4 linked regions of the Anolis sagrei genome follow. The protein of the gene in region 4 binds, or shares a complex with, the protein of the main gene of each other region. Links are inferred from orthologs where the notes say so. Each region holds a gene or a part of one and is shown on either strand. Other genes may lie near its edges.

What was found.
Region 1: LSM4 (region 4) and TXNL4A share a complex: the UniProt entries of both Homo sapiens proteins name them as parts of the precatalytic spliceosome. The link is inferred for Anolis sagrei from reciprocal best matches to the Homo sapiens genes LSM4 and TXNL4A.
Region 2: LSM4 (region 4) and LSM5 share a complex: the UniProt entries of both Homo sapiens proteins name them as parts of the precatalytic spliceosome. The link is inferred for Anolis sagrei from reciprocal best matches to the Homo sapiens genes LSM4 and LSM5.
Region 3: LSM4 (region 4) and LSM3 share a complex: the UniProt entries of both Homo sapiens proteins name them as parts of the precatalytic spliceosome. The link is inferred for Anolis sagrei from reciprocal best matches to the Homo sapiens genes LSM4 and LSM3.

The regions. Positions count from the first base shown.
Region 1 is NC_090024.1:76,520,880-76,528,307, reverse strand, and holds the start of TXNL4A (thioredoxin-like protein 4A), read left to right. Parts: upstream 1-4,412; 5' UTR 4,413-4,520; intron 4,521-7,428. Other genes in the region: probable 2-ketogluconate reductase, read right to left, coding at 4,002-4,004. UniProt on the Homo sapiens protein: Plays a role in pre-mRNA splicing as component of the U5 snRNP and U4/U6-U5 tri-snRNP complexes that are involved in spliceosome assembly, and as component of the precatalytic spliceosome (spliceosome B complex).
Region 2 is NC_090026.1:72,054,774-72,061,929, reverse strand, and holds the start of LSM5 (U6 snRNA-associated Sm-like protein LSm5), read right to left. Parts: upstream 3,011-7,156; 5' UTR 2,959-3,010; coding exon 2,913-2,958; intron 1-2,912. Other genes in the region: late secretory pathway protein AVL9 homolog, read left to right, coding at 4,751-4,945. UniProt on the Homo sapiens protein: Plays a role in pre-mRNA splicing as component of the U4/U6-U5 tri-snRNP complex that is involved in spliceosome assembly, and as component of the precatalytic spliceosome (spliceosome B complex).
Region 3 is NC_090022.1:52,142,599-52,150,080, forward strand, and holds the start of LSM3 (U6 snRNA-associated Sm-like protein LSm3), read right to left. Parts: upstream 3,022-7,482; 5' UTR 2,941-3,021; coding exon 2,920-2,940; intron 1-2,919. Other genes in the region: XPC (DNA repair protein complementing XP-C cells), read left to right, coding at 3,514-3,595. UniProt on the Homo sapiens protein: Plays a role in pre-mRNA splicing as component of the U4/U6-U5 tri-snRNP complex that is involved in spliceosome assembly, and as component of the precatalytic spliceosome (spliceosome B complex).
Region 4 is NC_090034.1:57,732,733-57,740,285, reverse strand, and holds the start of LSM4 (U6 snRNA-associated Sm-like protein LSm4), read right to left. Parts: upstream 3,007-7,553; 5' UTR 2,922-3,006; coding exon 2,919-2,921; intron 1-2,918. UniProt on the Homo sapiens protein: Plays a role in pre-mRNA splicing as component of the U4/U6-U5 tri-snRNP complex that is involved in spliceosome assembly, and as component of the precatalytic spliceosome (spliceosome B complex).

The sequences.
Region 1 (7,428 bases), on a different chromosome or scaffold from region 4:
CTGAGAAACAAGTTCAATTTGAGTTCACGTGGTGGAAACATAGCAGATAACACTATGAAACAAAATTAGAACACTTTTATGTTTCTAGTTTGAAAATGTTATTTCCTGTTAAATTGTGTGGTACTTACTTTGGAAGTAGTTGTTATATTCCGGAAACTTCGCTTTTGTGTTTGCCACAAACTATGTTGATTTGGTTGATACTCTGTGAGATATTCACCGAAAAACTATAGCAAAATGTGCTGCAGGTTGTCACGCAAACACAACGTTTATGCAGTTTAATAAACATTTTCTGTGGTATTATGATAGAACCAATTAGGAAATGATATGTATAACCCAAGAACAAAAATCATGTTACATAGTGTAATTCATCATTTTATCAGTGGATTTTAACTTATATTTTAACTCTGTGTATCTTGTTGTATGTTTTTAATAGTGTTTTATCTCTTGTTTTAATGATGTTGTATCCCACCTCAAGCCACAGGGAGACGCGGACAGTTTTTGGGCAGACAGATTGTAAATAGTGATATCACTCTGCTATATATTTACTGTGTATATGCCTTTGATTGATGGCAATCCCATACATTTTTGGCAACAACTTTTTGGCAAAGCTTTTTAGGCAAGAAATATTCAGAGGTAATTTGAAATATAGCCTATATTGGTGGTTTCATCCAAGACAGTAAAGGAGATTCCACCTGAACATTAGGAAGAACTTCCTAACTGTTCAGCAGTGGAACTCTCTGTCCCAGAGTGTGGTGGAGGCTCCTTCTTTGGAGGCTTTTAAACAGAGGCTGGATGGTCATCTGCCAGGAGTGCTTTGAATGCAGTTTTCCTGCTTCTTGGCAGGGAGTTGGACTGGATGGCCTTTGAGGTCTCTTCCAACTCTATGGTTCTATGATGCTATTTTTCTACTTATCTTCCAACATCAGACAGGATCTTATATGCCTTTATTGTACTTTCCTTACAAAAAAAAACCTGCAGTTTTTCTTAACAGCTCTTCTTTAGAAGGCTCAGAATGTTATTTTTCTTTAATATAGAAATATATTTAATATAGGAGACTTCTACAATATTTCCCTGCAGATGCTACAACCCTCTACCATTTGTCATCTCTCCCTCTTAAGTATCTTTTCCATCAATGTACCATCCCCTTATGGCTGCACCTGAGCATTGCAGCATCAGGCTCACGGGCTGCCAATGTAGGTTGTTTTGAAAAAGAAGAGTGTATCGGAAAAGTGGTAGGGGTGGGGTTTTGTTTTTTGTTTGTTTTGTTTTAGTTAAAATCCCTTTAATATTTTATGTTGAATAATGTTACTACCAAGTCTGGTCCTGATCCATCAAGCCATGTAGGAGCCTTTAAGGTACAAACAAACAAACATGCTTCACGTATATCTTTACTAACACATTGTTTTATAGATAACTTACCAGTTCTAGTAAAGCAGAAGAGTTCACTTGCAATAACACTATGTAACAAAATTAGAAAAAATGTTCTATTCCTGGTCTGAAAGTGTTATTTTCTACTTAATTATGTAGTGCTTTCTTTGAAAGTAGTTATACTCTAGTAACTTTGTTTTTGTGGCTGCCACAAGCTATATTGAATTGGTTGAGACTTGAGATATTCAAGGAGCCACGGCGGCACAATGGGTTAAACCCTTGTGCTGCTGAACTGCTGATCTGAAAGTTGGTAGTTCGAATCTATGAGACGGGTGAGCTCTCGTTTGTCAGCTCTGGCTCCTGACAACCTAGCAGTTCGAAAACATGGAAATTTGAGTAAATAGGGACTGCTTCGGTGGGAAAAAGCAAAGAGACTCTTGCTGGCTACACAACCAGGAGGTGACAACGCAGGCTCCATGGCCTGAAAATTGAGAAAAGCACCTCCCCAGAGATGAGTACTGCCTTCTGAAACCGGAAAAATGAAAGGAGAAGCCTCTGTCTTTGTGTTTGTGTGTCTCATTGTATTTGATTGTAAAGGCATTGTATGTTTGCCTATATATGCTGTAATCCGCTCTGAGTCCCCTAGGGGAGAAGGACAGAATACAAATAAAGTGTATTATTATTATTATTATTATGCATTGAAAAACTAGAGCAAAATGTGCTGCAGGATATCCTGCAAAGACAAAGTTTTTGCAGTTTAATAAACTTTTCCATGTTTTTAAAAATGATATAATTATAAAGTAAAGAACAAAACTCTGAAAACAGGGGAATTCCAGACATGAAACAAACAAGGGCAGCTAACACCCCCCAACAAAGGATTCCCCCAGGCAGGAAGCAGCCAAACATTGAAGCTGCAAGGCTTTGAAACGTTTGCTCCATCCATGTTCAACATCTACACAAATGACCAGCCACTGCCAGAAGGGACAGAGAGTTTCATCTATGCTGATGATCGTGCCATTACCACTCAAGCAGGGAGCTTTGAAATGGTTGAAAAGAAGCTCTCCGAAGCTCTAGGTGCTCTTACTGCCTATTACAGGGAAAACCAGCTGATCCCCAATCCATCTAAAACACAGACATGTGCCTTTCACCTTAAGAACAGACAAGCATCCCGAGCTCTAAGGATTACCTGGGAAGGAATCCCACTGGAGCATTGCAGCACACCCAAATACCTGGGAGTCACTTTGGACGTGCTCTGACCTACAAGAAGCACTGCCTGAACATCAAGCAAAAAGTGGGCGCTAGAAACAACATCATACGAAAGCTGACTGGCACAACCTGGGGATCACAACCAGACACAGTGAAGACATCTGCCCTTGCGCTATGCTACTCTGCTGCTGAGTATGCATGCCCAGTGTGGAACACATCTCACCACACTAAAACAGTAGATGTGGCTCTTAATGAGACATGCCGCATTATCACAGGGTGTCTGCGTCCCACACCACTGGAGAAATTACACTGCTTAGCCGGCATTGCACCACCTGACATCCGCTGGGAAGTAGCAGCCAATAGTGAAAGGACCAAGGCAGTGACATCTCCAGCTCATCCCCTGTTTGGGTATCAGCCAGCACGTCAACGACTTAAATCAAGACATAATTTTCTTAGATCTACAGAGACACTCGCTGGAACACCTCAGCAAGCGAGAGTCCAAAAGTGGTAGGCCCAAACCCAGCACCTCAATCCATGGGTGATACCAGATGAGAGACTCCCCCCTGGCACACAGAGGACTGGGCAACTTGGAAGGCGCTGAACAGACTGCGCTCTGGCACCACGAGATGCAGAGCCAACCTTCAGAAATGGGGCTACAAAGTGGAATCCACGGGATGCGAGTGCGGAGAGGAGCAAACCACTGACCACTTGCTGCAATGCAACCTGAGCCCTGCCACATGCACGATGGAGGACCTTCTTGCGGCAACACCAGAGGCACTCCAAGTGGACAGATACTGGTCAAAGGACATTTAACCAACTACCAAGTTTGCAAAATCTGTGGGTTTTTTTAAAATCTGTGTGTTTGTTTTCCTCTGTTAGAAATGTAATATAATGGTATGGTTGCTGATGACACGATAAATAAATTTGAAATGCTATTAAGGTGGTTAATTGCAACATTCACACTTGCCTCAAACAGAGAAGAGTTCTTTCTCCCACCAGGGCCATTCCACAGACGTATAAACCTCCCTTGCTTAGTTTCCAATATACCTCACAACCTCTGAGAATGCCTGCCATAGATATAGGAGAAAGGTCAGGAGAGAATGCTTCTGGAAAATGCCCGGAAAACTCACAGCAACCCTATGTTTATTTTGTTATTTCCACAAATACATTATGAAGAGAGCCTTTAGAACAGACCATTGTCATCAAGGGCATATGAGGGGAAAACGAATGTATTTACTTAAGTGTCTATCTACACTGCAGAGTTAATGCAGTTTGATACCACTTTAACCACCATGGTTCAGTACTACCATGAAATCATGAGAATTAATAATAATAACAACACTTTATTTATATTGTAGCTTTGCCTTCTCTTTAGCCTTCTGTGTTCAAGAGGGCCCCATCAAACTACAAATCCCATTATTCCATACCATGGCAGTTAAAGCGGAACAACAGCGCGACAACAGTGCAATGCAATAGGGCCATTTAAGCCTCTCCTATCTCTTTCTCACACCAAAGACTCGGGTGGCTTTCTCAGCTTAACATTCCTTTATCAGGCAGGGTGAGTCTCCCCACTCTTCCTTGCATGTACTTGCCCCGCTTCCTGCTACAGATCTTCAAGACCTTGCCCCGCTTCCCGATCTTGGGTGCTCCAGGGGTTTTGGACTTCAACTCCCAGAAGCCTCAGCCAGCGTGGCCAACACTCAGGAATTCTGGGAAGCGAAGTCCAAAGAAATCTGAAGGAGCAAAGTCTTCTTAGCCCCGCCCACCGCGCGCTCTGAGCTTAACCGGAAATGGGCGAATCGGAGAAGGGCTTCCGGAAACTTCCTTTGGTGACGTAACCCCGACGTCACTTTAGATTAGAGGGAGCCGGCCTGCGCCTCGGTTGGAGAGGTGTGCGTGTAGTCGCGACGGTGGGGAAGATCCGTCGAAACCTTCTCTGCTTTTGGGTGAGTTGGAAGAGGATTGCTGACGGGGCCCGGATGTTGGGCCTACTGCGCCCCGTGCTATTTGGACTGCGATTGAGGGACTGATCAGGACCTTCAGCCTCTTGGGGTCACGTGCTTGGTATTCCTCGACGCCATTGGCTGTATTCGTGGCTTTACAGTGAGAGCGTGTACACTTGCCATGGGCAAACCTGGGGCCTCCCTCCAGGTGTTTTGGACTTTTGAACTTCAAGGGAAAAGGCCCTTTCCTTTTCCCCCTCAGCTCCTTAACTAATTTAAAATAGTGGTCTAAAATGGTCTAATTTAAAATATTTAAATTAACATTAGAACTGCACAACAACAGAGAGGAAACAAACAAGGACATCTAATCACCTCTCAACAAAAGATTACTCCAGGCGCTGCCAGGCAATCAAATGCTAATCAAGGTGGTCAGTTGAAACATTCACACCTAGCTCCAGCAGACAAGAGTCCTTTGTCCCACCCTGGTCATTCCACAGATATATAAACCCTTTATCCCTAGTTCCAACAGACCTCACTACCTCTGAGGAAGATCGCCATAGATGCAGGCGAAACGTCAGGAGAAATGCCTCTAGAACATGGCCATATAGCCCGAAAAAACCTACAACAACCCAGTGATTCCGGCCATGAAAGCCTTCGACAATACATTAATTTAAAAAAGTTTGCAGCAGCCACAAAAGCGAAGGTTCTGGAATGGAACAACTACTTTCAAAGCAAGTACCGCACAATTAAACAGGAAATTGCACTTTCTCAAACTAGGAACAGAACATTTTTCAAATTTCGTTACATAGTGTTATTGATTGCTCTTTCCAAGTTGCAGCCAGACATGGAGACACATGGTGCTCACTGTTTGTGTTTGTGTTTGTTTTTTTTTAAATTAAGCTTCACCACTGAATGGTTGGTTTCATTTTTGGCAACATTGTTTGTTGACCATGACACCTTGTTTTCCTAACATTATGTTTCCTTTACGGATAATAACGTACTTCAAAAATGAAACAAAACGAGGGGAAACTATTAAGGATGGGTCAGTTGGGCTCCCCTGATGTTTTTGTTCTACCATAGGTTAGTGAAGGGGGCTAAAGGCAGCCACATTTCAACCACAAATTAGAAAATGAACCACAAATGACTAATTCTTTCTTTTGAACAAATAGTTAGGTTTATGGGCCAAGAAATAAAATAGTATTTTTTAGAAAAAAGAAACCAGGTGCTGTACAGGCTGTCACCAAATGAACAAGATAGGTTCTGTAGGTTTGTTCTTAAATTGAATTTGTATTTCAGAATTTTGAAACAGGTACATTTTTGAAGTGTAACTCGCTTTCTCTCTCTCTCTCTCTCTCTCTCTCTCTATATATATATATATACTAGCCATCCATGCCACACGTTGCTGTGGCCCAGTCTTGGTGATCTGGAAAATAAAGTAATGAGAAAGTATTGGTTTCTAATATATGTAATTTTTTTATGCTTGAGGGTAAACAGTATTTCTTCTTGTTTCTTAGTGTTGATGTAGAGCAGTGGTTCTCAACCTGGGGTCCCCAGATGTTTTTGCCCTACAACTCCCAGAAATCCCAGCCAGTTTAGCAGCTGTTAGGATTTCTGGGAGTTGAAGACCAAAAACATCTGGGGACCCCAGGTTGAGAACCACTGATGTAGATATTGTCTGGTTTGCCTACTCTGGAACATGCAACATGTAATTGTCCTTCTTTAGGGTTCCCTTTTATATCTATGATACTATATTTGTCATATATATATATATACATATGTGTGTGTGTATGTGTGAATCATATCTATCTATATCTATTGCTGGATGGCTCTTTGTCAGGAGGGCTTTATGTTTTCTTGCCCTGGTGAAGTGAGTTGGATTGGATGGCCTTAAAGCAGCATTTCTCAACCTGGGGGTTGGGACCCCTGGGGTGGGTCATGAGGGGGTGTCAGAGGGGTCACCAAAACTATCAGAAAAAAAGTATTTTCTGGGGGTTCTGTGTGGAAAGTTTGGTTCAATTTTATCGTTGGTGGGGTTCAGAATGCTCTGATTGTAAGTGAACTATAAATCCCAGCAACTACAACTCCCAAATGTCAAGGTCTATTTTCCCAAACTTCCATCTGTGTTCATATTTGTGCATATTGAGTATTCGTGTCAAGTTTGGTCCAGATCCATCATTGTTTGAGTCCACAGTGCTCTCTGGGTGTAGGTAAACTATAACTCCAAAACTCAAGGTCAATTCCCACCAAACCCGTCTACTGTTTTCTGTTGATCTTTTAAGTCCTGTGTGCTAAGTTTGGTTCAATTCCATCATTGGTGGAGTTCGGAATGCTCTTTGATGGTAGGCGAACTATAAATCCCAGCAACTACAACTCCCAAATGAAAAAAAAATCATTTTTTTAGTGATGGTCACTCCTTGGGTTAGGTGTCTTGTGGCCAAATTTGGCGACAATTCGCCCAGTGGTTTTTGAGTTATGATAATCCCACAAACGAACATTACATTTTTATTTATATAGATATGAGCAAGCTTTGGATAGCACCCCTGTGGTGTTTGTTTTTCTGTCTGCCCCCCCTCCTCCCCCGGTTCAGGAGCTCTCACCTCAATTTCTGTCCCTGTGATCATTGCATTTTGACAAATGTAGCATGTCTCGATAAAAAAACTACTTAATGAACAGGCTTGATTCCTTAAAAGCAGCACACTATGTAAGTTAGTTCATATGAAGTTTAAGGCCCCTTCCACACAGCTGAATAAAATTCCACATTTTCTGCTTTGAACTGAGATATATGGCAGTGTAGACTCAGATAACCCAGTTCAAAGCAGATTTGTGGGATTTTCTACCTTTATATTCTGGATTATATGACTATGGAAGGGCCCTAAGAAGAAAGTTTGAAGGGCACCTAAGGGCTGACATT
Region 2 (7,156 bases), on a different chromosome or scaffold from region 4:
TGAACAATCAAATAAAAAGGAACATGAGAGAATGCTGCAATAAATGTTAACAGCAACAAGAATTGTATATGTTCCAAGGTGAAAAATGACAGAAATACCAACTATAGAAAATTGGACAGTCAAGATGCAATAAATAATAGAAACAGACTAATTTAACAATGTTGTTGATAGATAAGACATTGGGCACAATCTTAGAATAGAAACCATGTGTTGTCAAAGGCTTTCATGGCTGAAATCACTGGGCTGCTGTGATGTTCCAGTAGCATTCTTTCCTGACGTTTTGCCTGCATCTGTGGTTTGCATCTTCAGAGGTTTGTTCTGAGGACTGTTGGAAGTGAGGCATGTAGAGTGTATATATCTGTGAACTGTCCAAGGTTGGGGGGGGGGGGGGACCTTGTCTGTTTGAAGCAAGTTTTGCAATTAGCAAGACTGAGTAGAATTGAGTAGCCTTGCACCCCCCCCCCCCCGGTGGTTCAATGGGTTAAACCACCAAGCTGCGGAATTTGCTCACCAAAAGGTTGGTGGTTCAAATACGGGGAGCATGGTAAGCTTCCACTGTTAGGCCCAGCTTCTGCCAATCTAGCAGTTCGAAAACATGCAAATGTGAGTATATCATAGATACCTCTTCTGTGGGAAGGTAACAGTGCTCCATGCAATGATGCTGGCCTCATGACCTTGGAGGTGTTTATGGACAACAGAGGCTTTTTGGCTTAGAAAGGGAGATGTGCACCACCACGCAGAGTCGGATACGACTGTTTTATGAAACCTTTACCTTTACTAGCCTTGCAACTGCAGAGTCAGTCAGTGTTGTAGTCTGGAGATATCTTTTGTTTGCCAATAATAGACTTGCAGAATACTACTGGAACAGCCCGAAAAACTCACAGCAACCCAGTGGAAACCATATTATCAAGATATATCTGGGGAGAATGAAAGACTTTATATATAGGTTTGGTGACATAAAATGTTGGGATATTCATTTGCAAATGTTAAAGAAAACTAAAGTAAACAATTGGCTGGATATAAAGTGGAAGAAAAACAATTAAATTGATCGAGAAACTGAAAAAAAGAGATGTTGGAAATCCACTTTGAAAACTAATGTTGTAGAGTTGTAGGTAGAAATGTATGTTCTTCGGGTTGTCATACTCTAAGTATGTCATGTTTTATGTACAGGGTGAGGCAGCATAACTTCCTTTTTAAAAAATGTGCTCAATTTAGTCGGCTGAAGACGAAGTGGAGCGCTAGTGGTCTCATTCGAGAAGCGGGAGTATAAAGTTTTGTCCTGACACAGTTCAGTCCATCATGCATTGGAACAGTGAGGAGCATACTTTTGCCATTGAGGCCTACTTTTCGAGCGGATTTGGAGTGGCCGGCCAGCTCTCCAGATTTGGCCCCTTGTGATTTTTTTTCTAATCCCGTGTTTATGCGAACCGTCTAAGGACCCTACAAGATTTGAAGACCAACATCCAGGAAGAAACTGCCAACATAATGCCTGCTATGCTGCCAAGTCATGACAAACACCAGAAATTGCTTTACTCAGTGTATGGCGAATGGGGGACGTCACCTACCTAATTTGATCTTCAAAACTATGTAAAACAAAACTTTAGGTATGCGGAGCTTGGAGCAACGTCAATTCCAGACAATTTCACCCTATGTCTGGAAGCTCTGTCAAACTGGCTACGTGCTAACAGACTGAAGATGAACCCAGCGAAGACTGAGATTCTCTGGCATGGTCGCCTGGCAGGTCTGACTCCATTACCCACCTTCGATGGTGCTGCCCTATCTCCATCGATCACTGTTAAGAGCTTAGGTGTTGTCCTGGATTCACAGCTGACAATGGAAGCTCAGGTCACTGCTGCCAGGAAACAGGCCTTTTTCCATCTACGACAAGCGAGGCAACTGGCACCCTACCTATCTGACGAGGCTCTGGCAACTGTCATCCATGCCACGGTCACGTCTACGCTGGACTATTGCAACGCCCTGTAGGTGGGCCTTCCGATGTCTACGACCCGAAAGCTTCGTATTGTTCAGAACGCGGCAGCCAGGTTACTCACAAGAACGCCCATGAAATACCATATAACACCAGTGCAGCAACATTTACATTGGCTTCCAACTGAGTACCGTGGCCTGTATAAGATGCTAGTTCTGACCTTTAAAACTCTTTACAGCCAGGGTCCATCGTACCTTAGGGACCGCCTCTCCTTCTCCCATCATCGGAGGTCGCAACAACCAGCCCAACGTGACTTACTCCATATACCGGGTCCTAGAGAAGTGCACTTGGAAAGGACCAGACGCAGGGCTTTTTCTATTTCTGCCCCTGCCTTGTGGAATTCCTTGCCACCCTACATGAGAGCCATGCGTGACTTAGGGCCTTTTACTCTCGCACTTAAGACCTGGCTTTTTACTAGAGCATTCGATCTCTGTTGATTTTTAATTTTTGTATGTATGTATTTTATCTTTTGTAATTTAGCCTAGAGCATTCTCTAGGTGATTAATAAGTTATTAAATGATAATGATGATGATTTAAAAAAAATTCTGATTCATACAATGGGTTTTATTAAGTTTTGAAAAAAAGGAAGTTATGCTGCCTCACCCTGTATTTACAAGTATTGCTCCTTTTTGTGTTTTTGTTGTAAAAAAAATAATTAAAAATATTAGGAGAACAAAATAGAACAAAGCTGCTTCTCGAGTTCCTTCATCCCACTTCCAAGAAAACTGACAGAACTTCCCTGACGCAGGGCCTCAAACATAGGTTTCGCCTGAAGCTAATGGCCAAGGAAGCGGGGAAAGAGCATTTACCACTTCAGTCATTTATCTTTTTAATTTGCCAGACAAATATGACAGCTCCCCACTTCTCCCAAACGCCACGCTTCCCCTTCCCCTTCCTCCTCGTCGCGTTTCCCTCAGTTTGTTACCAAGAGGTAGAAGCTGAGACGGGTTGGTCGTCGCGTTGGCCGCCATCTTTGCGCCAGACCCAACTAATCAATTCCACCCCCTCCGCGCGGCGCTGCTTCGAGCCTATTGGCTAAATAAGGATCACGGGGGCTGTGACGCCACAAAGAATCGACCCGGCGGCACCGCTCAGACAGGTCCAACCAATCGATGAGCGAGCAGTCGAACGGTTTCAACAGCGGGGAGGAAGAGGAGGCGGGGACGAGCTCATCTAGTCACATGAGGATGCTTCACTGAGCGATTGGTGTATGGTTTATAGCGGGATCCAACTCTAAACGAAACGCAGATCTCAAGCTATTTTGTATTGTACGGCACCCACCACGACAAGTTGCAATGACAGCAGGAATATACACACTGCGAATACGATTGCTTCCTGTGTATTCATAGAATCACAGAGTTGGAAGAGACCTCATGGGCCATCCAGTCCAACCCCCTGCCAAGAAGCAGGAATATTGCCTTCAAAGCACCTCTCACAGATGGCCATCCAGCCTCTGTTTAAAAACCTCCAAAGAATGAGCCTCCACCACACTCCGGGGCAGAGAGTTCCACTGCTGAACTGCTCTCAGTCAGGAAGTTCTTCCTAATGTAGGTGCATCCACTCTGTAAGATTAATGAATCCTACAGAGTGGATGTAGGATTCATTTGAACTTCTATGGCTCAGTGCTATGGAAATCATGGGAGTTATAGTTTCACAAAGTCTTTCACCTCCCTTAGTGCTGACCCATGGCAGTTTAAAGTGATGTCATACAGGACGTACATAGGGGGAAATGAGAAATAGTAACTAAAGCTACTTTAGGTAAAGTTAAAGGTTTTCCCCTGATATGTAGTCCAGTCGTGTCCAACTCTGGGGTATGTTGCTCATCTCCATTTCTAAGCCGAAGAGCGGCGTTGTCCGTAGACACCTCCAAGGTCATATGGCTGGCATAATTGCATGAAGCGTCGTTACCTTCCCGCCAGAGCAGTACCTATTGATCTACTCACATTTGCATGTTTTCAAACTGCTAGGTTGGCAGAAGCTGGGGCTGACAGCAGAAACTCATGCCGCTCCCCAGATTCGAACCTGGCTGCAGTCTGCATCTGCAGTAATCTTTGCACCTAGAAATACAAAGTCTGTCACGGCCTCCACATTTTCTCCCTCTATTTTCTAGTTGTCAATCATTCTTGTTGCCATAATCTTGGGTTTTTTAATGTTTAGCTGCAACCCGGCTTTTGCGCTTTCTTCTTTCACCTTGATCACTAGGCTCCTCAGCTCCTCCTCGCTTTCGGCCATCAGAGTGGTGTCATCTGCATATCTGAGGTTGTTAATGTTTTTTCCAGCAATTTTCACCCCAGCTTAATATATAATATATAATAACATAATATATTGTATGTATAAATAGCTTGTAAGCCGCTCTGAGTCCCCTGCAGGGTGAGAAGGGCAGCATATAAATGTAGTAAATAAATAATAGTAGCAGGACTTTCTTTCTATGGCGTTCTGAGGGTGCTGTCCCTTTAAGAGCAGAGCCCTGGCAACTGGTTGCCCAGAGGAACCAGCCTGAGGTAACAGGTCAGGAAACTTTCTTCTTCCTGTGGCCCTAATTTGGCCAAGGCGGCCAGTAACTTCCCTCGGCTATTGGACTTTGTGACTAGAGACCTTCACGCCCAGGTTCCTCGTTCTGTCCTCTCCCTCCCTCCCTCCTCGGGACTGGCTCGGCCTCCCGGCCCTCGGCGGTGACTGAAGTCCGCTCTCTTCCGGTTTCCTGAGCTCTCGGCGCGAGGGCTTCGGTAGGCGCCACTGCGCGTGCGCCCTCCTTCTTGGCGCATGCTCAGTGGCCGCCTCGCGCCGCTCATCCGGAGAGTGGGGAAGGAGCCTGTCAAGAGTGGAGGAAGGCAGGCGGCTCTCCTTCCCTTCATGGAGCGGAGGGGCCGAGCGCAGGGCGACCTCCCGCCCCGAGCCTCCAAGGGGCCCGTGCTGCATATCGCCGTGGTCGGCTTCCACCACAAGAAGGGCTGCCAGGTGAGCAGGAGGCAGGCAGGGAGGGAGGGTCTCTCGCTTCCCCATCACAAGTTCCCTTTCCCCAAGTCTGCGCCTCCAGCTCCTTCTCCCAAAGGCTGCCATTGGATTCCTCTGCTTCTCAGTTCCCTCCCCCTTCATTCCTTTTCCACCCTCAGGGCAAGATTTGGGAGTATTGCTTAAGACAGGTATCTCAGGAGTATTGTTTCTTTCAATCTGGACAGGTGTCTCAGGAGTATTACTAAAACAGGTATCTCAAGAGTATGATTCCTTTCAATCTGGACAGGTATCTCAGGAGTGTTATTTCTCTCACACTTTTGACTTCTATTGCTACAAAATATAGATCGGGTATTTATTATTTATTTACTTACTGTATTTGTATACCGCCTTTCTCAGCCCGAAGGCGACTCAAGCCAGTTAACAGGGTAAAATTCAATGCTTACAATATCATAAATACAATTAAAAACAAGACATATAATAAAAATTAAACATATCAATAAAATATAAATTCTTAGTGTCGCCTTGTTAAAAACGTTGTCCAGTCTCATTGTCGTCTTTCCATTTTTCTATGTCAGTTACTCTGCACTTGGAAACGCTTGTTCAAAAAGCCCTTTTAACATTTTCTGGAATGTTAAAAGGGAGGTGGCCGATCTAATATCTATAGGGAGGGCGTTCCACTGCTGAGCGGCCACCGCCGAGATGTCCCTGTCTTGTCTCCGCCAGATGTACTTGTGATGAAGGCGGTAACGAGAGCTGGACCTCCCCAGACAATCTTAAGGTCCTGGTTCATAAGGGGAGATGCGTTCGGACATGTAAGTTGGGACAGAACCGTTCAGGGCTTTATAGGCTAAAGCCAGCACTCTCAATTGTGTCCGGTAGCAAACTTGCAGCCAGTGGAGCTGGCGCAACAGAGGAGTTGTATGCTTCCTGAGCGCTGCACCTGTTAGCAATCTGGCTGCCATTCGTTGGACCATTCAAAGCTTCCGGACAGTCTCCAAAAGCAACCCCACATAGAGTGTGTTGCAGTAGTCTATATGGGATGTAACCAGAGCGTGGACCACTGTAGCCAGATCAGACTTCCCAAGGGATGGGCGCAGCTGGCGCACAAGCTTTAACTGTGCAAATGCTCCCCTGGTCACCGCCGAAACCTGGGGTTCCAGGCTCAGCGATGAGTCCAGGATCACTCCAAAGCTGCAAACTTGCATCTTCAGGGGGAGTGCAACCCCATCCAACACAGGCTATGTAATCCTATGCCCTGTTCGGCCTTACGACTGACCAGGAGGACCTCTGTCTTGTCTGGATTCAGTTTCAATTTGTTTGCCCTCATCCAGATCATCATAGCGGCCAAGCATCGGTTCAGGATCTGAACAGCCTCCTTAGTTGCAGGAGGGAAGGAGTGATAGAGTTGGACATCATCTGCGTACAGGTGACAGGTATCTCTTGACAAGAGGGCCAGAATCCTCCAAAATTGACTGCTTGGGTGACTGAGACAGTGATACTTCGGCTTTTCTGATCCTTAGGCAATCCCTCATAGCTCGAGGATGATTGTCTTCCAGATGTGGTGTCTTGGCGGTGGATCCGTAGGTGGCTGTGGAGCCCAGTTCTTGATCCACATGTTCTTCTGCAGTGAGTTTCCAGATGGGAGGCGGTCCAATCAGGGTTGGCTTGACACGCCTTCCTTTGGGCATGTTTCTCCCTTTCACCCTCCATTTGTGCCTCTTTGAATTTTGCAGCACTGCTGGTCACAGCACTGCTGGTCACAGCTCACCTTTAGTTAGAGTGCAATATGAATGGGTTCCTGAGTTAGTATGCTCAACAAATATCCCCCTTGTATAGAAAATAGAAAATAGAATTCAATGTATAATTGTATAAACTTGTTATACTGTTCAAGTTTACAGTGATCACAAACAATATTATATGAGTTTTTGTACAGTCACTTTGAAATGGTATCAACGTCGTGTCTTCTTATGTTGAGTTGCATATGAATCAGCCATCCACGACCGGTTTTGTTCTTTCTCCAGGCCTTCCTCTAGTGGACTAAAATTATTATATACATCAAAATTTGCTGCAAATATATATATTGAACATCATATACTGAAATACATTTGAAGTTACTTCCAAAGTTATAAACTTAGCACTTATTATATACATCAACATTTGTTGCAAATATATCCATTAAACATCACATGTTAAAACACATTTAAAGGTACTTAC
Region 3 (7,482 bases), on a different chromosome or scaffold from region 4:
TTGCCACAGATGCAAGCAAAATGTCTAGAGAAAATGCTACTGGAACATGACCATACTGCCCAAATGTTGGAAATTACAGCCTTCTTCAAGCCTCCTCTAGTAATCTGTTAATATATTCTGTTTTCTTACTGTTTTGTATGCCTGTTCTGATATGTAGCTTCTTTTGCTCTATGTTTCATGAGAGGTTGTGGGAGGGGCTGCACACCACATGATCTGATCTGAGACTGTTCAGACCTCAGACTCCATTTTAGATTTCTTCTTAGACTCAGACCAACACTTGCCTGCTGTTGTTGAAAGAAAGAAGCCTTGTGTCATCTGCACATAGAAACTATCTCAAATATATCTGAAATTGGACTGATAAGCTGTGTACCTGTGTTATGCTGAACATGAAGGCTGTGAGTAAAGCATTTTTTTTCAAAGCCTACAACTGAAGACATAATAATAATAATAATAATAATAATAATAATAACAACAACTTTATTCTTATATCCCATCACAATCTCCCCAAGGGAAGTTGAGGCGGCTTACAGGGGGATCAAGCCCAACATAAACAAAGGTTACAAGTAACATAATTAAAAACATTTAACAATAAAATATACTAAAACAATAAAACCATTGGAGTAAAAAAAACATAATAAAAGACATTGACACATACTATATTTGGTTGTATACTATTTGAGAAGATTCTACTCAAATGGGTTTTTGGCTCTTATTTATTTATTTATGACATTTATATGCCACCCTTCTCACCCTGAAGAGAACCTCAGAGCAGCTTACAAGATAGTAACCTACGGATGTGAGAGCTGGACCTTAGGGAAGGCTGAGCGAAGGAAGATAGATGCTTTTGAACTGTGGTGTTGGAGGAAAGTTCTGAGAGTGCCGTGGACTGCAAGAAGATCCAACCAGTCCATCCTCCAGGAAATGGGGCCCGACTGCTCATTGGAGGGAAGGATACTAGAGACAAAGTTGAAGTACTTTGGCCACATCATGAGGAGACAGCAAAGCCTGGAGAAGACAATTATGCTGGGGAAAGTGGAAGGTAAAAGGAAGAGGGGCCGACCAAGGGCAAGATGGATGGATGGCATCCTTGAAGTGAGTGGACTGACCTTGAAGGAGCTGGGGGTGGTGACGGCCGACAGGGAGCTCTGGCGTGGGCTGGTCCATGAGGTCACGAAGAGTCGGAGATGACTGAACGAATGAACAACAACATACATACACACACACAATACATTATATTATTAGCATCTTACAATATCTGTATTGTATATTACTATATTGTATAACTCTTATAGTATAATCTGCAAATGGTTGTGAATGCCATTTTCCAAACCAAAAAACTCACAAACAATCCAGTGATTCTGGTATGAAAGCCTCCGACAACACATTATTGTCTTTTCTAGTGAGTCAAGTCTTCTCCTGATACATATCAAGTATGATAACGTCTGGGTGTATCTATACTGCAGAATTAATGCAATTCGACTTTCACTACCTTGGCTCAATCCAATGGAATCCTTGGATTTGCAGTTTGATGAGGCACATCGATCTTTGGCAGAGGCGGCTAAAACTACACCTCTCAGGATGCCATAACATTCAGCCATTATGTGGTGTCAAACTACATCCATTTTACAGTGTAAATGCAGCCTTGGTTTAGTCACCTTGGCTTCTATAGAAAATTCACTGAGAAACCACACTCCTGCATCAATTCTGCAGTGTATATACACTTGGATTCAGAAGGATGAACATGTACCTTATGACAAGACTTGCTCTCCAAAATGAACTCCATGCAAAATAAGGCATTACATTAGGAATTGGGATAACATTAGGAATTGGGACAGTTCCATCCTCCTCCTGATATGTCATCTGTCGGGGACCTCTCCCTGCAGCACCAACTGCTGCTCTGGGCCAGAGTGAAGAGAGAGGGGGCCAGGGGACAGTTCCACCTTGTTTCCTGTGCTATTCTAATAATACAATATAATGCAATGTAATATAATATATTGTATATACATATAGGTAAAGGTAAAGGTTTTCCCCTGACATTAAGTCCAGTTGTGTCTGATCTGGGGTGTGGTGCTAATCTCCATTTCTAAGCCAAAGAGCTGACGTTGTCCATAGACACATCCAAGGTCATGTGGTCAGCATGACTGCATGGAGCGCCGTTACTTTCCCGCTGGAGCGGTATGTACTGATCTACTCACATTTGCATGTTTTCGAACTGTTGGGTTAGCTGAAACTGGGGCTGACAGCAGAAGCTCACGCCACTCCATGAATCTGCGACCTTTCAGTCGAGAAGCTCAGCAGCTCAGCACTTTAACCCACTGTATATTGTATATACATATAATATTTATAATATTATAATGTAATACAATATAATATGATATTTTAATAATTATATATTTATATTACATGTAATATTACTAATAACATTACAATATAATGGTATAGTACAATATAGTAATATTTAATACTGATGTGGTACTATGTTAATACTATAATATATAATATAATATACCTCTGAGGATGCTTGCCATAGATGCAGGCGAAACGTCAGGAGAGAATGCCTCTAGACCAGTGGTTCTCAACCTGGGGTCCCCAGATGTTTTTGGCCTACAACTCCCAGAAATCACAGCCAGTTTACCAGCTGTTAGGATTTCTGGGAGTTGAAGGCCAAAAACATCTGGGGACCCCAGGTTGAGAACCACTGCTCTAGACCATGGCTATACAGCCCGAAAAAACCTACAACAACCCAGTGATTCCGGCCATTGTATGTATATATCCCTTGTAAGCTGCTCTGAGTCCCCTTCGGGGTGAGAAGGGCGGCATATAAATGTCGTAAATAAATAAATAAATGTTAAAATCAGCCCCCCTTCTCCCTTTCATTTCCTCCCCAAAAGAGACGCAGGAGATAACGCGGTCACCCACCTGATCAACCTCGTCCGCCATTTTTTCAAAGGCGGTTCGAGTCTCTTCTCGCGGTATTTTATGCCCGGTCCGCTGTGTTAGCGGCAGGCGCTCTAGACTTGTTTTAGAGGCACTCTCACAGGCGCTCACTTCCGGGTCGCGTCCGTTTCCACAGAGCTTGGCTTCTATATAGTAGTGCTTTCGGACTCAATTTCCCAGAATCCCTCATCATGGCCCAAGGGTGTTGAGGATTATGGAAGTTGGAGTTCTAGGGGGAAAAAGAGGGATTGGGCAAACTTGGGCCCTCCGAGCGTTTTGGACTTCAACTCTCACCATTCCTCCCAGCCTCAGGCCCCTTCCTTTTGCCTCTCAGCCGCTTAAGCGGCTGAGAGGCAAAAGGAAGGGGCCTGAGGCTGGGAGGAATGGTGAGAGTTGAAGTCCAAAACGCCTGGAGGGCCCAAGTTTGCCAAGGCCTAGGAAGCCAACTTAGATCCTCCTCTTCCTCCTCCATCTCTGGCTGCGCCGGCACGCCCCCTAGTGGCCAGTGGCGCGCTCGCGTTCTGTCTCCATTGTTTTCCCCATGCGGGAAGGAAGCCCCCGAAGGAGCCGCCAGCGATGGGCGACAGCAGCAAGCGCAAGGGCCGCCCCTCGCTGCAGGGCGCCGGCAAGAGGCCCCGCGGGGACGGGAAGCCAGGCGGTGAGACCCCGAAAGAGCCATGAAGGCCGTGATGGAGGGAGGGAGGGAGGGGATAGATACACAGAATGCCCCTGACACACTGTAGAATGTAGAAGGAGCCCCCGGTGGCGCAGTGGGTTAAACCCCTGTGCCGGCAGGACTGAAGACCGACAGGTCGCAGGTTCGAATCCGGGGAGAGGCGGATGAGCTCCCTCTATCAGCTCCAGCTCCTCATACGGGGACATGAGAGAAGCCTCCCACAAGGATGATAAGAACATCAAATCATCTCTTGGGCATTCCCTGGGCAACGTCCTTGCAGAAGACCAATTCTCTCACACCAGAAGCGACTTGCAGTTTCTCAAGTCGCTCCTGACAAGACAAAAAACAAAAATGTAGAATGAAGTTTGGCACTGCCATGGCTCAAGCTATGGGATCGAGAGCCCTGTCGCTTTAAGGGATTTGGCCTTCTCTGCCAAAGAGTCCTGGTATTGTATTGTCTAAGGCAGGGGTCCTCAAACTAAGGCCCGGGGGCCGGATGCGGCCCTCCAAGGTCATTTACCCGGCCCTCGCTCAGGGTCAACCTAAGTCTATAATGACTCAAAAGCACACAACAACAATAACAACAATAACAATCCTATCTTATCAGCCAAAGGCAGGCCCACATTTCCCATTGAAATACTAATAAAATTATATTTGTTAAGATTGTTCATTTTAATTATTGTATTGTTTTTAATTTTTTTTTTGCACTACAAGATATGTGCAGTGTGCATAGGAATTCATTCATTTTTTTTTTCAAATTATAATCCGGCCCTCCAACAGTTTGAGGGACTATGACCTGGCCGTCTGTTTAAAAAGTTTGAGGACCCCTGGTCTAAGGCTTTCATGGCCAGAATCACTGGGTTGTTGTAGGTTTTTCGGGCTATATGGCTATATTCTCTCCTGATGTTTTGCCTGCATCTGTGGCAGGCATCCTCAGAGGTTGTGAGATGCAGGTGAAACGTCAGGAGAGAATGCTTCTAGAACATAGCCTTATAGCCTGAAAAACCTACAACAACTCAGTGATTCTGGCTATGAAAGTATTTGAACATTTTCCCATATATATATATTTATGGATTTTGTGCAGGAGAACGTCCCAGTGGATTGCACTCTGTTTCTGGTTAGTCACAACCCCTGAGGATGCCTGCCACAGATTCAGGTGAAACGTCAGGAGAGAATGCTTCTAGAACATGGCCATATAGCCCGAAAAACCTACAATAACCCAGTGATTCCGGCCATGAAAGCCTTTGACAATACAATACCAGCAAGCGTCCTCAGAGGTTGTGACTAACCAGAAACAGAGTGCAATCCACTGGGACGTTTTCCTGCACAAAATCCATAAATATATATGGGAAAATGTATTGTCAAATACTTTCATAACCGGAATCACTGAGTTGTTGTAGGTTTTTCAGGCTATATGGCCATGTTCTAGGAGCATTCTCTCCTGATATTTTGCCTGCATCTCACAAGCACTGAGGATGCCTGCCAAAAATGTAGGCAAAATGTCAGGAGAGAATGCTTCTAGAACATGGCCACATAGCCCAAGAAACCTACAACAACCCAGTCCTGGTACTTCACCCAACTGCAACTTTCCATAGCAGAGTGGAACCGCATTTATTCTACAGTGTAAGACCCCATCTGCGGCCCCTTCCATACAGCTGTATGAAACCCCACATCTGCTTTGAACTGCGTTATATTTCAGTGTGGACTCAAATAACTCAGTTCAAAGCAGATATGGTGGGATTCTCTACCTCGATATTCATGGCTGTATGGAAAACAGAAAGTGTAGGATTTTATTCAACTGTGTGGAAGGGGCCTGAGAGCGTATCAATAACCATTTACAGCTTTTGGCACTCTCTGGCCAGGATTCCATTGCATAACTCTGTACAAAACCGAACGAAAGGAAACAACAGAGATTATCCGTCTCCACCTTTTAAATGATTTTGGCTTCCTATGGAATGAGCATTTATTAATCTTCCAGGATGAAATGCACCCCTCCTTTTCCAGAATCGGCTTTCCAAAAGACTCAGCGGAAGCGTTTGATGTGTGAATGTCTTCAGCATTCCATGCTCTGCTGCTTTATGCAACAGGCACGTGAACAGAAGAGACTTTCGCCCAGTTGCTTCCAGCAACTACATAAGGAAAACTTGCTGTATAAGAAGAGGCTGTTAGACTAAGCAAAAAGTTTCAGATGAGGAAAATGACAAAATGTTTCAGAGAAGAAAAATCGAGCTTTTCTTTTTGCTTTTTTCTAAACAGCTTGATCAAGAAGAGAAAAGGCAACAGACAGTAGCTTTTGTTGAACCATTTTGGAGTGCGTTGTTTTCAAAAAAATTTATCTTCCAGACCAGACATGGGCAAACTTTGGCCCTTCAGATGTTTTGGAATACAACTCCCACAATTCTTAACAGCCAGTGCCATAGGCCCCTTAAAACATGCTGAACATTTTCCTATCTAAAACTGCATTCAAGAATCCCTCATGTTCTTGGAAACTAAGCAGTGTGAAATATTTGTATATCTTCACCCCAATGAATGCTAGCTGCTACAGGTTATATTTCAAAGAAAGGAACTGACAAAGCCATCTCTGAGGCCTCTTCTGCACTGCCCTATATCCCAAGTTCTGATCCCAGATTATCTGCTTTAAACTGGATTATATGAGTCTCCACTGCCAAATAATCTGGGATAATCATATAATCCTGAGATATAGGGGCATTGTGGAAGGGTTCTGAGTCTTCTTCGCTTAAGAAAACCCCATTAAATTGATGGGGTTGCCATTCGGCAACGGGTGACTTGAAGACATGTACGCACAAGTTGCTTTGCCTTATTTATTTATTTATTTATTTATTTGTCATGTCAGAAGCAACTTGAGGTTACAGTTATCATGTATTCAAAAACACAAACAAAGTTTAAAACTTTGCATTATACTAAATGTCCTTTGACCAGAAGCAGGCCACTTGGGGCCCTTCTCCACAGCCCTATATCCCAGAATATCAAGACAGAAAATCCCACATAATCTGAGCGTGGAGTCAGATAACCCAGTTCAAAGCAGATATTATGGGATTTTCTGCCTTGATATTCTGGGATATAGGGCTGTGTAGAAGGGCCCTTGGAGTGCCTCTGGTATCGCTGTAAGAAGGTTCATGTGGCAGGGCTCAGTGTGGAGAAGAGCAAACCACTTACTACAGTGCAGCTTGAGCTCCAGTGCTTTGCCTTGAAAGATGATACAAAAATATTGTGAATAAAAGTTTTTGTTATTGGCTATTTGATCACTACATATTTTAATTACAGTAATAGTATTAAGGTAATAACCCTAGGATAGGCTTGTCAGAAATTGGAGTCAGCTTTAAAACTTGTACGAATATTAATATTCCTGTATTTTATACTACCCAGAGTATTCTGCCCCAAGGACTGTACAGTTTGAAACCTTACATAAGCAATAATGGAGGAAGTAGACCCAGGTGGTTGCAGTTGCATGTTTAGTCTTCATTGTGCTATTAGCCTTCAGACATTTGCATAGGATGCTTGATTTCCTATCACTTGGTGGCTTGAAATGAAATGTATAAACTGACATTATATGTCATTTTTCTCAGTTATAGTTTATGTTCTCATCTACTCTATCTAAAAACAAGCCATAAAGACACAGCATGTGGGAGTGCTGCATTTTTAGTTTCCAAGGTTCAGCAGCTTTCATCATTCCTTGTTTTTAGAAATAGCAGTTTCTTCTTTCCCAGGATTGTTTAGAACAGTCTAAATAGACAGGTAAAAATATACCTCTGCCATCAGGCGTTTAATGAATGACGAGGTGCAGGCTGCTGGAGATGCTGGAAGTAAGATTGGGGGATTTCCATCTAAATGATGCTGGAAGTAAGATT
Region 4 (7,553 bases):
GCCTTTTTGTAAGGCCGCTCTGAGTCCCCCTCTTGGGGTGAGAAGCGCTGGATATAAACATAATAAATAAATAAATAAATAACTGCAGCAGCTAAAAAAGCCTATGGGTTTTGGGCTGCATCAAAGGAGTATAGTGTCTAGATCAGTGGTTCTCAACCTGTGGGTCCCCAGGTGCTTTGGCCTACAACTCCCAGAAATCCCAGCAGGTTTACCAGCTGTTATGATTTCTAGGTGTTGAAGGACAAAACATCTGGGGACCTACAGATTGAGAACCACTGATCTAGATCAAGGGAAGTCATGGTGCCCCTCTCTTCTGTTTTGGTCAAATCTCTTTACCTGACAAATTCTGTGCACCACAGGTTAAAAGAGATATTGACTCTAAGCTGGAAGGTGTCCAGAGGAAGAGGGCAACTAAAATTATCAAAGATCTGGAGACCATGAATAATCCCTCTAACGAGCGTCTTCAAGGACTGGGTCTGTTTAGCCTGCAGAAAAGAAGGTTGAAAGGTGACATGAGAGCCACGTATAAATACGTGAAAGGATATCATAAGGAAGAGGGAGCAGGCTTCCTTTCTGCTACCCTGGAAACTAGGGCTTGGGACAATGGGTTCAAATTACAAGAAAGAAGAACATTAGGAAGAACTTCCTGACCGTACAAGCTGTTCAACAGTAGGACTCTCTGCCTCGAAGTGTGGTGGAAGCTCCTTCCATGGAAACTTTTAAACAGAGACTGGATGCACATCTGTCAGGTTTACTTTGACTGTGCTTTTCCTGCATGGTAGGGGTTTTGACTAGATGGACTATATAGAATCATAGAATTAAAGAGTTGGAAGAAACCTCATGGACCATCCAGTCCAACCCCCTGCCAAGAAGCAGGAATATTGCATTCAAATCACCCCTGACAGATGGCCATCCAGCCCCTATTTAAAAGCTTCCAAAGAAGGAGCCTCCACCACACTCCGTAGCAGAGAGTTCCACTGCTGAACGGCTCTCAAAGTCTGGAAGTTCTTCCTCATGTTTAGATGGAATCTTCTCTCTTGTAGTTTGAAGCCATTGTTCCGCGTCCTAGTCTCCAAGGAAGCAGAAAACAAGCTTGCTCCCTCCTCCCTGTGGCTTCCTCTCACATATTTATACATGGCTATCGTATCTCCTCTCAGCCTTCTCTTCTTCAGGCTAAACATGCCCAGCTCCTTAAGCCGCTCCTCATAGGGCTTGTTCTCCAGACCCTTGATCATTTTAGTCGCCCTCCTATGGTCTCTTCCCACTCTATTATTTTATGATTTCCACTCTATCTGCTCCCCATGATGATTCCAGGTATACAGATGCCCCCCTCCACTTTCTCCTGCCATAAAGGAGCCCCCTACTCCCTTCCTGACAGGGCCAAGCCTGCCTTTTAAGATCTGAGGTAACCGTATTTCCCCGGGGTCTGAACGTGCCCTCCAATCTAATGAAAGTTGCCATTTTCAAAACCCTGAAACCAAAGAAAAGTATTTGTTGCTGAATGTCATGCGAAGCAGTGAAAGCGCTGTCCATGTAATTCAGCCATTGCAATTGCTGCCTGTTTACGATTCCTTCTTTAAAGACAAAAGTGTTAGAAGACCAAAGCTTCCTCTGGAATGTTTCCAGAGGAGGGTGACTAAAATGATCAAGGGTCTGGAGAACAAGCCCTATGAAGAGCGGCTTACAGAGCTTGGCATGTTTAGTTTTCAGAAGAGGAGAGGAGACATGTATAAATATGTGAGGGGAAGTCATAGGGTGGAGGGGGCAAGCTTGTTTTCTGCTGCCCTGGAGACTAGGATGGAAAACAATGGGTTCAAACTACAGGAAAGAAAGGAGATTACACCTGAACATATTTATTTATTTACCTTACTTATATACCGCTGTTCTCAGCCCGAAGGCGACTCACAGCGGTTCACAACAAATACAAACAGCAAAAATTCAGTGCTACAGTATAAAAACAGTTAACAACCTAACACATTACACAATTAATAAACAGTTACTACAATACCCATTCACTATCGTCTCATCATCAAAAACATGTTCCAGATTCGTCATCTATTGTTCCATTCCAGTGTTCATTAACCAATCATTGCACTAATTATTCAAACGCCTGCTCAAACAGCCAGATCTTCACTTTTTTGCAGAATACCATTTAGAGATGGTGCTAGTCTAATGTCCGTAGGAAGGGCGTTCCACAGCCGAGGAGCCACCACCGAGAAGGCCCTATCTCTCGTCCCCGCCAGCCATGCTTGAGAAGCAGGCGGGATTGAGAGCAGGGCCTCCCCGGAACATCTCAAAGTCCTGGTGGGTTCATAGGCAGAGATGCGGTCGGATAGGTAGCTTGGGCTGGAACCGTTTAGGGTTTTAAAGGCCAACGCCAGCACTTTGAATTGAGCCCGGTAGCAGATCGGTAGCCAGTGGAGTTGAACTTCCTGACTGTGAGTGCTGTTTAGCAGTGGAACCCTTAATCTGCCCCAGAGTGTGGTGGAGGCTCCTTCTTTGGAGGTTTTTAAGCAGAGGCTGGATGGACATCTGTCGGGGATGCTTTGAATGCAATTTTCCTGCTTCTTGGCAGAATGGGCTTGGACTGGATGACCCACCAGATCTCTTCCAACTCTAGGATTCTATGATTCCAGCAATGGTAAATGATAACCTATGGGGTGCATCTCTTCTGTAGAATGGGTCCACTTTAACTGCCTTGGTTCAATGCTATGGAGTCATGTGGGCTGCCGTTTGACAAGGCCTTGAACAGTCTATTGATGCCTCACCAAGCTGCAAATCCCAGAATGGCATAGCATTGAGCCATGGCCACTGAATTTAAGCTGCTTAGAGTCTCCTTGAGGAGAGAACAAGAGGGATACAAACAAACAAACAAACAAACAACAGTTTTCAGGCCCATAGGCCTCGTAGGCTCTTACCATCTTACTCTCCAGGCTCCACAGCCACGACTTCCGCTTCCGCCGGCGCCACTTCCACCTTCAAATCAGCCCAGCAGCCAATTACGCGCTTCGTCTATTGCCCCTCCCGGCCTGAGCGCTGATTGGCTGCTGCTCTGAGTCCTGATTGGTCGCTGCTCCTTTGTGTCCTGATTGGTCGCTGCTCCTTTGTGTCCTGATTGGTCGCTGCTCTGAGTCCGAACCCTTCTTTGGGCGGAAGTGGAGCGGAAAGTCACTTCTGTTGGGCAGCGGAATGGTCGTTTGTGCTGTATTTCGAGTTGTGATCTTTTTGGTGGATTACATGTATATCCCCGTTGGTATCCTATTACATTTCCCTTTCTTTTCGTTTTTCTATTTCTGCCAGGATCATCTTTGCATAGGTTTATCTTCACTTTTATCCCCTAAATTATATTATTATTATTATTATTATTATTATTATTATTATTAAATAATAAATAAATAAGATCGAACTGCAAAGACTCTGGCACAAGCCAGTCAAGGTTGTCCCAGTGGTGATCGGCACACTGGGTGCAGTGCCTAAAGACTTGCACTGCATTTGTCCTGCACTTAAACACAATTGGTGCTGACAAAATTACCATCTGCTAGCTGCAAAAGGCCACATTATTATTGTTATTATTATTGTTATTATTATTGTTATTATTATTATTATTAAAATGGAACTGCAAAGACTATGGCGCAAAGCTAGTAAAGGTGGTCCCAGTGGTGATCGGCACACTGGGTGCAGTGCCTAAAGACCTTGGCCTGCACTTAAACACAATCGGCGCTGACAAGATTACCATCTGCCAGCTGCGGAAGGCCACCTTACTGGGATCTGCATGCATTATTCGCCGATACATCACACAGATCTAGACACTTGGGAAGTGTCCGACGTGTGATCCTATACAATAGCCAGAAGAGTGTCTGGTGTGGACTCATCTTGTTGTGTTTCTAATAATAATAATAATAATAATGGCACAAGACAGTAAAGGTGGTCTCAGTGGTGATCGGCACACAGGGTACAATGCCTAAGGTCTTGGCCTGCACTTAAAGACAATCAGCACTGATAAAATTACCAGCTGCCAGCTGCAAAAGGCCACCTTACTGGGATCTGCACACATTATTCATTGATACATCACACAGTCCTAGACACTTGGGAAGTGTCCGACGTGTGATGCAATACAACAGCCAGCAGAGTGTCTGCTGTGGACTCATCTTGTTGTGTTTCAAATAATAATAATAATAATAAATTGTTATTTATTACCTGCCTCTCCTGATGGCTCAAGGCGGAGTACAACAAAGTCAAAAATGTATGTATATATATATCTATATACACACACATTATATATGTTATATTTTCATACTAGCTTGGGGACCCGGCGGTGCCCGTGTTATTTGAGAAAGGCATTGTTTGTCTGTGCTCCAAGTTTAGCCTAGATACAATGTCAGCTTGGTTCAGTGGGTGCAGGTGAACCAAAACTCCCATATGCAAGTCCCATCATCCATGGTCCATCCTCCTCCAAACTGCACCAGGATGTGGAATGGGTCACGGGGGCTCTGTATGCCAAGTTCAATCAGTCATTGGTGTGGGTCGCAATGGTCTCAGGAAGTGAGTGAAGGTACTGAAAGTCCCATCATCCATGATCCATTGTCCCACAAACCACACCAAGATGTAGAGTGGGTCAATGGTCTGAAGAAATGAGTGAAGATACTGCAATTCCCATCATCCACTCTTCCTTTTTCCTTCCATTTTCCCCAACTTAATATCATATATATATATAATAATGTGTAAATATATGTTATGCACACATTGCATATGTTTACACATTATATTATATATAATATATATATAATATATACTTTATGCATGCATTATATTAGTTGTTTTTTTTGTCGTGTCAGGAGAGACTTGAGAAACTGCAAGTTGCTTCTGGTGTGAGAGAATTGGCTGTCTGCAAGGACATTGCCCAGGGGACACCCAAATGTTTTGATGTTTTTACCATCCTTGTGGGAGTTTTCTCTCATGTCCCCGCAAGGGGAGCTGGAACTGACAGAGGGAGCTCAACTGCGATATCACCGGATTCGAACCTGCAACTTGTCAGTCTTCAGTCCTATTTTCCAGATCACCAGACTGGGCCACAGCAATGCATGGCAGGGGACAACCATGGTGATCTGGAAAATAAGGTAATGAGAAAGTGTTGGTTTCTTATGTCTGTAATTTCTTTATACTTGTGGGTAAACAGTAACTCTTGCTGTTTCTTTGTCAGGGTTGATGTGGAGATTGTCTGTTCGGACTACTCAGGAAAAAGGCAAAATATAATTGTCCTTCTTTAGGGACCCCTTTCAAATCTATGATACTATATCTATGTGTATCTGAATCATATCTATCTATGTATGTATGTATGGCTGGATGGCTCTTTGTCAGGAAGGCTTTGATTACATTTTCTTGCCCTGGTGAAGGGAGTTGGACTGGATGGCCTTAAGTATTTTCTGTTGGTCATGGGGGCTCTGTGTGGGAAGTTTGCCCCAATTCTGTCGTTGACGGGGTTCAGAATGCTCTTTGATTGTAGGTGAACTATAAATCCCAGTAACGACAGCTCCCAAATGTCAGGGTCTCTTTTCCTCAAACTCCATCTTTATTCATATTCGGGCATATGGAATATTCATGCCAAGTTTGGTCCAGATCCATCATTATTTGAGTCCACAGTGCTCTCTAGATGTAGGTGAACTACAACTCCTAAACTCAAAATACTGCACCAAACCCTTGCAGTATTTTCTGTTGGTTGTCTACAGCTCCCAAATGTCACTTCAGAATGCTCTTTGATTGTAGCTGAACTATAAATCCCAGCAACTACAGCTCCCAAATGTCAAGGTCTATTTACCCCAAACTCGATCTGTTGTCACATTTGGGCATATGGAATATTTGTGCCAAGTTTGGTCCAGATCCATCATTGTTTCAGTTCAAGGTCAATGCCCACCAAACCCTTCCAGGTCTCAAGCTTTAAATACCTGGGAGTATTCTATCACTGCACTGGAAACAAGAAAGTACATGTGGATTACGTAGCAGATGCAGCGCAAAAGAGCTCATATGCTATCCTAAAGTTTCTCAAAACGGGAGGAGGCCACTACATACCAGCAGCACTTAAGCTCTTTGAGGCAAAATCCATAGCACAAATGATGTATGGAGCCCAACTCGGTCCCTTCTCAAACTATGCCCCTCTGGAGCAAGTACAATCAAAATTTCTAAGATCGGCGATGCAGGTCCCCAGATGTGTCTCAAACGCCACCCTGCGATTAGAGGCAGGCGTCATGACAGTGGAGGCAAGAGTGTGGACAGCCACCCTCAATTATTGGCTGCATCTGTCTCTCTCAACATGTGGCCTTGCTCCGTTAACTCTGAGAGATGAATTTCAGTCTACATGGAATAAGGCAGTGGCAATCAAAATCACAATTCTAGGCTTCCCTCAAGGACAACTGCTAGGTATGGGATGGGACCAAGCCAAGGATCTTATTAGACAACGGATCCTGGATATAGAGCGACAATCAGACTTAGCCTGCTCTCCAGCATTCACCATTAGCGAAGATAACAGATATCTCACCGCTCCCAGGGCTTACTTAGCAAACCTGGAGGTGCCTAAACACCGAAGAGCTTTCACTTTGGCAAGAAGCCATGCCCTTCCATCGGCAGTACTGGAGGGGAGGTACTGGAAGACCCCTGCCCAGGAGAGACTGCCCGTGTGATTCTGGCTACATTGAAACAACTGAACATGTGCTCCTCCAATGTGTATTCTATAGAGACATTAGAGCTAATTTCATCACTCCATGGCTTTTAAAACATCCAGGGCGCACTGAAAGATATTACACCTCCTTGTTGCTCTCGGACTCTTGCTCTGTGACAACCTACAGTGTTGCCAAGTTCTGTGCAGCAGCAATTAACATTAGACGGCTGATGACCGACTCCACCAGGCAACTTCCTGCCGGGAATATAGTTAGAATGATTTGTAATAACTGAAATGCTGTAAATGCTCCCCTCTCATCCCTTTTTAGAGCTTCCCAGTTGTCTGATATTTGTTATTAGCCGCCCCGCTATTTTAGATTCATACATGCACTTTAAACTGTAAGTTTAGTCTGCTTTTTAATCTGTCTCTTTTATAACATGTTTTTAATCTGCTTTTTATCTGACCTACTTGGGAACTGCGATTCCCTTCCTTGGGCACCTGTGCCCCATTTTATACTGTGCTGGTCAAAGACCGTAATAAATCACTGATTGATTGATTGTAGGCAGGCCCGTAGCCAGGATTTCGTTTCGGGGGGGGGGGGGGCTGATTTTTTTTCAGGGGGGGTTTCGGGGGGTGAGTTTCGGGGGGGGGCTGAGTCTGAGTAAAAGAGGGTCTAGCCTAGCAAACCTTTTGTATCATTACCCCAATACCCCTATGCATATGGGATATATTGAGTATGGTGATCAGATCATGATATGAATAAACATAACAGTTGAAATAATGCACCAGTAAGGCCTTTTCGCGAACCACCATGAAAATTTCGGGCGGGGGCTGAAGCCCCCCGAGCCCCCTGCCCTGGCTACATGCCTGATTGTAGGTGAACTATAAATCCCAGCAACTA